Astyanax mexicanus: one gene and its partner. The protein of the gene in region 1 interacts with the protein of each later gene in a pairwise test. Links are inferred from orthologs where the notes say so. Each region holds a gene or a part of one and is shown on either strand. Other genes may lie near its edges.

Evidence for each region.
Region 2: the proteins of bcl11aa (region 1) and nr2e1 interact in a two-hybrid assay, tested with the Homo sapiens proteins (2 studies listed by BioGRID). The link is inferred for Astyanax mexicanus from reciprocal best matches to the Homo sapiens genes BCL11A and NR2E1.

Annotation. Positions count from the first base shown.
Region 1 is NC_064414.1:37,446,692-37,450,616, reverse strand, and holds the start of bcl11aa (BAF chromatin remodeling complex subunit BCL11A a), read left to right. Parts: upstream 1-1,373; 5' UTR 1,374-1,801; coding exon 1,802-1,856; intron 1,857-3,925. UniProt on the Homo sapiens protein: Transcription factor. Associated with the BAF SWI/SNF chromatin remodeling complex. Binds to the 5'-TGACCA-3' sequence motif in regulatory regions of target genes, including a distal promoter of the HBG1 hemoglobin subunit gamma-1 gene.
Region 2 is NC_064408.1:53,000,302-53,004,226, forward strand, and holds the start of nr2e1 (nuclear receptor subfamily 2 group E member 1), read left to right. Parts: upstream 1-768; 5' UTR 769-1,361; coding exon 1,362-1,419; intron 1,420-3,925. UniProt on the Homo sapiens protein: Orphan receptor that binds DNA as a monomer to hormone response elements (HRE) containing an extended core motif half-site sequence 5'-AAGGTCA-3' in which the 5' flanking nucleotides participate in determining receptor specificity.

The DNA of each region.
Region 1 (3,925 bases):
TCCATATAAGCAGGCTGATAAAACCATTAAGTATTTATTAAAGTTGACGCGTTACGCTGATTGCGTCCCTTCATCACTTCATCGCCACGACCTGGTCATCTAGAGCGCTCGATGCGCGACCCGCGTCTACTAAAAGTTTCAGACAGCTTAAAAGCAGCCCACTCCAGCATACACACACACACACGCACCGAGCAACGCCTGTCCAAAACGAAAGGAACCAAAAACAATGTAGCCTGTAAAACAATGTCACTCACTCTCTGGCCACACCTTATCTCGCAGGTTGGTCTTTCCATCCCAGCTCCTCTCACTCCCAGAGTCCCTCCTGCCTCTCTCCCTTTCCCCGCAGACTGGCGCCTATGCTCGCTCTGCCGTGGTCGTGTCGCACAGCCTCGCTAAGTCTATAGTCCTATTTCAGCTACTTGGCGAGGATGTGGCTCTTTTCCTCCCTCCTCGCTCGCGCATGTATGTGTCTGAGAGAGTGTATGTGTGTGTGTAGCCTACACGCTCCCTTGTCTCTTTACGCGGTGTTATTTGAAAATGTTTGGAGCATCTTATAGCGGAATCCGCGTGGAAAAGCCTCCATAACCCCCCCTCCCTTCCTCCCTCCCCCTGCCGCCATCCTGACCTGAACACAGCTGAAACTTGTTAAACCCCAGCCCCCTTTGTAGTGGGCTGCTCCCATCATATAGTCGTCACTGTGGTATGGGTTTTAAAACTAGGCTAGACTTGTGGAATATTTAAGTCCCACCTACATAATTCGCAAAAACATCAACAAAACCTGCGAGTGTCCACGTTTACTCTTTTTTTTACTTTTACAGGGTCCCTCGCTTAATATTTAACTCTAAGTTATTTTTGTAGTAAAGGGGTTTGTGCATGTGGCACCGCTCGGGGACACATGAGGAGCCTCCTCCGTGCCCTCGCGCGGAACCTGTCCGTCCTGTTCACGCGCAACCTGATCGTTTGTTGTTGTTTTTTTTTTTTCAGCAGCGGCACAGGTTCTCGCCCTCTCCGTCTCTCTCTCTTTTCGCGCGTCCGCGTGAACTCTGCTCTGCACTTCTGTCTGTTTGGACCACGAGCTGAACGTGTGTTTCAGCTGCTCACTAGCCCTGGTCAATGTCCACTGAAGCAGCTTCTATTAAAGGTTTCTCTCCCCCTCCCCTCGCATAGCGCATGTCCAGCCCCCCACACCACACCACACCACCCCCTCCACTCCCAGCCCCCCTGAATCTCATGGCCATTGGCTTTTCGTGGTCCGTGTTCCTACGTCCACCCCCTACACACACACATACACACTGCACGCTGCTTTCATTAAACACCCCCCCCCCCCCCACCCTCTCTCACTCTCTCTCGCTCGCTCACCCTCTCTCTCTCTCGCCTCTTGTCCGGCCCCCTGATCTTTCTGTCCATTGGCTTCTCCGGGTCTATTTTTCATGTCCAGCCCCTAATGAGTGTCCATTGGTTTTGTTATTTCCACTCCCTCCTCCCACTCCCCGGCTTTGCCCTGCCCATGTTTTGTATGTCTGTGTCCATCCATCTCCTGACGTTCAAGTTCGCAGGGACGTCACGTCCGCACTTGAACTTGCAGCTCAGGGGGGCTTTTGCCATTTTTTCATCTCTCTCTCTCTCTCTTTTCAAAAAAGCCATGACGGCTATCCCACAATTCATCTTCCCCGCGCCATCTTTGTATTATTTCTAATTTATTTTGGATGTCAAAGGCATTGATGAAGATATTTTCTCTGGAGTCTCCCTTCTAACCCGGCTCTCCCGATGTGAACCGAGCTGAAAGCCACCACCAACCACCATGTCTCGCCGCAAGCAAGGCAAACCCCAGCACTTAAGCAAACGGGATTTCTCGCGTAAGTACCGCATGTGTGTCTGTGTTGTGTCGTCCTTACCCTCTCGTTTTGTCGGTCTCGGTGTGCAATGTGCAGCAAAGAGGGGGAAAACAGCAGCTACCGTGGAGCGAAGCCCGCTGAAGGCACACTGGACAGTGGACAGCGGAGACCGCGGTCAAGTGGACTTCACTGAGGAGCGTGGCGAGTCGCTGCCGCTCGTCAAGCAGCAGCACGCGCACCTTCAGCTACTGAGAAAAGTTTCTGTTTTCGTCCGCGAGCCGCCCGCTGAAATTCCTGAGAAGTTTAGGGCTCGATTTTTCAGCGTAAGCCACGTGCGTTGGCTCCCGTGCCCCCAGTCCGTGTGTTTGGCCATCTAAGACCCGGTGTAAGGTACCGGACTGTGGTAGGTAGGTGTGCAGCTCCAGCTCTGGCTCTCAGCGCTGTGTTGTGGAGTAAACCCGTAGCACTCGACTGCGAGCGATTCTGGGCAGGATTTCCCCCCTCTCGCACTATTTTTGGAAGATTTTCAAAAAGTGGAAGTGGATTTTGATTGGGAAGGGGAAAGAAATCTCGTGTCCGACTGTTTACAAACGCGGCGTGAGCGCGCGGTGCACTACTCACCGGCAGCAGCCACGGAGAGGGTCGGTCATTGTATTGGCTATTTTAGACTCACCTCTCCAACCGAACTGGGCAAAGCTTAGATACATATAATAGGTACGCTTTTAAACTTTAAGCTGAGCTCCTTTCTCACAAAAAGCGTGATTCCTCCAGTGCTCGAGCTGATGTTGAGACTTAGCCTTATTCGTCAGGAGCAACAGGAACGCGAATGGGTCATCTACCAGTGCTTTTTCTTCCTCGTATATTTAATGTGTGTAATTTATATTTCAGTTTAATTACTAAAGAACGGTGTTGACTTAAAGATACAACAGACCGTCAGTGGCATTTAAACTACTTAAACAGACATTTTATTCAGGGATTTTTTTTCTTAATTCACCCCCCGGAAAATGCTAAACATTTGTTTTGTAAGCTCTGTTTTAACGAAACCCACGAAAAGTGTCCGAACAGGGTCGTGAATATTCTCGTTGTTGAGCAAAGTCGCCCAATTTGATATTTTATAGCTCCATAATCGTGCTCGTGAATATGACAAGTAGACTATGCAAAAGCACACCGGTTTCTTCTTATTCTCCTGACTTTTCTTCAAACGACACCGAGACCCAGAAGCATTAGGCTGCCTTTTACACGATAAACATGCTTGACACAAATCCCACGTTGTTGTAACGTTGTAACGTATCGTGTAACATTATTGGGTTCCCCCCCACACACACAGGCTGTTGGGTTTCAGTGCCGTCTCCAGGTTGCACGCCAGTCTCTCTTTCACCCAGCCGTGTGTGTCGTTCGTCGCTAGGAGGCACACTACGATCAGAAACTGGAAATGAACTTGAACCTGATCGATTTTTACCGCCACCTCTGTCTACATATTTCACGATAGGGTTGGAAGAGAGAGAAACTTGTTATGCACACCTATAGCCCGTTTCACCCCCGGAACCACGTGCTTTATTTAGGTTATACTGAGTTTTGAATGAAATCTTAAAAAGTAGGTTAAGAGAAAGTAAATCTACTATGAAGATACACACTCGTAGGCTTAATATCCAAAAACTTAACAACACCGGTACTCTGACACCGATGCTGTGTTTCAGTCGTAAACACTAATAAAGTCGTGTTTTTTTTTAGCAGTTTCACATGCAATAACTTATATTAGGAAAAAACACGGCCGGAACTCAGTACATGTTAAGATTTTTTGTTTCATTCATTTTTTTCTTTATATAAGCGATCTTCACTTTTAAATAGCTTATGTTTTTTATTTCTGAATTATTCTTAGCTATAGTTCAGTAATAAGATTCTAAAATTAAAAAAAATAGCAAGTGCTAAATTGCTCACTTTTTTAAATTTGCATTTTCAGTCCGTTTTAAGTCTCTGGATCCATTTAATTTGTTTTAGTGATGTTGAAAGTCATTTTTTTATCGCTTAAACTTAAGACTGCATGATCTTTTATTTTTATTTTTGTCAATTTATTTAGTCCACTCTTTTGC
Region 2 (3,925 bases), on another chromosome or scaffold:
GTAAGAGCGCGCGCACCATGTCAGCAGTCAGTTTTTGACGAAGTGCGAAAGACGCAATGAGAAAAAACTAATGATTCAATAAATATATAATAAAGACATTGTTATGCATATTAATGCATTTAAGACGAAGGACATTTTCCGTTAACAGCAAGTTTTTTTTTTATTTACAGTTGGGTTTGATTGTGGTCAACGAGGTACAACTAACGAGTCCTGAATAAATAAGTCTTTAGAAGAAGACACTCCAGAGTAGTAAGAGCGGAGCGGAGCGGAGAGAGGAGCAAGGCTCAGACACAGCTGTATTCCATGCAGCTCGGGGGGAGCAACAGGTGCGCGAGCTTCGAAACCACTTTATTTTAAGATTAAAAATAGGAAGCGTGTATTAATAATAATAATAATAATAATAATAATAATAATAATAATAATAATAATAATAATAATAATAATAATAATAATACATAAAAAACGCAAATTAATAAAATAAAAATAAATAATAAAAAATGTATTACAAATGAAATAAAATCAACAAAATAAATACAGTAAATTAGAATAAAATATTATATAGATACATACAAACATATAAAATATACTATACAATTACGTTATAATGGTGTTAAACAACCTGGCTAACTCTGGCTAATCAGTCCCTCTAAACAGCAGTGGATTAGTCTTTGCCGCCCCCCTCTCTCACTCTCTCTGTCGCTCACTCTCACTCTCTCAGTCTTTTGGAAACGTCACTCCGTCTGTCGTTCTCCAACCCCTGCCCACCCCGGCAGGTGACGTCATGCGCCAACTTAGAGTAGAAGAAGGCAGGGAAAAAAGCTAAGTGGGCAAAAAGGGAAGTTGGGCCTCTCCTCCTCCTCCTCCTCTACCTCCTGCTTCCTCCTCAAATACTTCTCATGCATATTCCCGAAGGCTTTAATCTGACGGCGCACATCACAAAGTCAGCGCGGCTCCGGGGCTGCCCGCATTTCTGCGCTCTGAGCTTTCTCCCCTCTCCTGCTGTTATTTATTCCACCTCTCACACTGACCGGCTGGGTCTATCTAAGTGTGTTTTTTCACCGCTGAGTTCTGGGCCCCGTTTACCGAGAACAAACTCTACTGCAGCAACTTTGGCTGCCCAAGGGTCATCCCGTGTGTAGGTCACCTCCCAGCCCGTGCATGCGCGTGGACTGCGGGTCTGACCGGTCCACATCATACAGCTTCAGGGCAGCTCACGCCGGGGAGACACACTGGACACTCACACCGCCTCCGCAGCGCTCAGCATCTCCACCGGCACCTACCCGGACTGCTGCGACAAGATCTAAAACTGATTAAAACCCGCTGCTGACTTTCCCTCAGCCGAACTGGAAGAGGAGCCCAAGATGAGTAAAGGTTCCAGCTCAACAAGTGGCTGTTTGGATATTTTAAACGTCAAGTCAAGTGAGTACCGAGACCTTGAAACGCTTTACTACAGATGCTCAATATTAATTATTAATCTCTGTCATTTAATCGCGTCTGTCTAAATCAACCCGGGAGATTATGTGACATTGTAAACTGTAGCGCGCAAGTGGAGGATCACACTAAACTGAACTTTACTAACGGCAACTATAACCTATAATTTAAAATGCCCGATTTTCTCTTCTTTAATTAAAATTAATTGTTTGTTTTAAAACGTGCATTTTCATGACTAGGTTTTGTTATTGACACATTTGAATATGTAAAAACAAATCCATATGTTTTCGAATGATTGATTTATGTGAGTGGATAATGGATAAGAATGGAGCAGCAACGTAACTTAATATAATTTGACATGTCACAGATCACATACGATTCCGATTAAATTAATTATGACTACATTAAAAAGTTTACTTTTAAAGTTTTACTGAAATGATAAGCAGCCTGTTTATATGTGTTTTCTTCTTAAGGATTTTGCGTGTTTTCCAGGTAGCTCAGTCAAGTAAATGAGAATGCGTGTTCAGTAATACGCATTTCGAAATAATTTATCAAAATACCACATATAAAAAGTCTTCATTAATAGGTGTTTACATATTTAAGCTTCCTCTTTTATTCACCTTAAATTGTTGGATAAAAGTTTTATTATTGGATGTTGTTTTAATGTACTTTGGCCTTTATCTAAATCTCATGAAGCACAAACTCTCCAAATGAATTGGAATAAAATATTTTTACAATGAATTTCATTGAAATGATTTTTTCATTTTCTTTTAAATTTGCAGTGTAGGAGATACATTTTTTCCCTGGCTGCAACGAATTTTATAAGAACAAATATGTGTAAAAATACATAGATTTAAGAAAGTGAAATAAAAATAAGTGTAGATGCGAGTTGTCAGTTTCAATTAGTTATTTAAGATAACGAATACCTAATTGGCTAAGTTTAAAAGACAAAAAAATCATCACTATTTACAAAATGTCCAAGAGAGTGAAACTGAAAAATATTAAACGAAACTTTACCCTAAAGTAACACCTCATCAACTCAAATCGCTTAGACGCGGCAGGTTCTCTCAAATACAAACTTCACGATCAGCGTCATCTATTCCCTATTTTAATTTTTTTGTCATCATCATCATCATCTTCCTTATATTAAAAGTTTTAAAACTGTGTTTGGGGGCCCCGGCTCAACCGCTAGACTGATGCAGGAGACGGTAGGCCCTAAACTTATTACTGTAATGAAATATGCCACATATTCATAGGCAAGAGGGGTTTCGGAAAGCAACACACGGATAAAACAATTACAGAATGGGGTCTAACAAATGCAGCACTCCGTTCCACTTCTTCTACTATAATTTCTCACTTTTAATGAAGGACAATAAATTAGCGATGTTATGAAATGGAGCTCAAATTTATAGCTCAGCTCCAGCAAATAGACATTGTTCAGCTCCAGTCCCTGATGAAGAATGAGATAAATCAAATAAAGAAAACACCATTTATTATTATTATTATTATTATTATTATTATTATTATTATTATTATTATTATTATTATTTTTATTATTATTATTATTATTATTATTATTATTATTATTATTATTATTATTATTATTAATATACAAATACATAAATGTTAATCTATATTCCTTTCGGGGGGTTTGTGGTTATTTTAATAAGTGCGTTTATTTATTTCAATTATTTCATTATCATTGCAGAATTTACAATAACCAGAGCATTACAAACATAAATCATACTAAAAACCGAAAAATAACATTATTATTATCATCCCAAGATATTTTCACTTTTTTGCATTCTAACTTTATTTAACATTAACTGGATACAGTAATTTCGGCTAATTTTGTATGTGTCCAAAAGGTAATTTTAAAAATCTAGTATCCAAATGACAACAGCAGTTTAAACATAATACACTTTAGTTGTTATACAAAATCTATGTATTTGTTTCACTTTTTTTACGTTTGAAAATTTGTTATATGTAAAATTGCTTGAAATGTTCTTTTATATTTACTAGAATGTTTTCCTTCTCCTGTAAAGTTAGCATTTAAAATACGAGGTTTACGACAGCGGCGAAATAATGAACATAAAAATGAGAACTTTATATATCTGCTGCAGAATCAAAGCTTAAGAACTTTTAATATTTTTTCTTTTTGTCACGCGTTCACAGAATCTGGAGCGAAGAGAAGACGCAGCTAAATGCTGCCAAAGTAGTTTTGAACGACCGATCATTTGGCTGCAGTTTGACATCAGACCGCCCTGCCACTGCTCTCATTGTTGTGGCGCTCGGCCCTCGCCGAGCCATATCCGAATTCCCATGCTACCGTTTTTGACGGGTCACTGGGAAATCAATGAGCAGGTGGACATATGTCAGTAATTACACGGCCGCTCCTCCGCACCACTCCCCCATCTACATGCGAATGCAGCGCCATTAACGGATTTAGACGCAGAAAGAGGAAAAAGGAGGGGGAGAAAGTTTATATGCACAC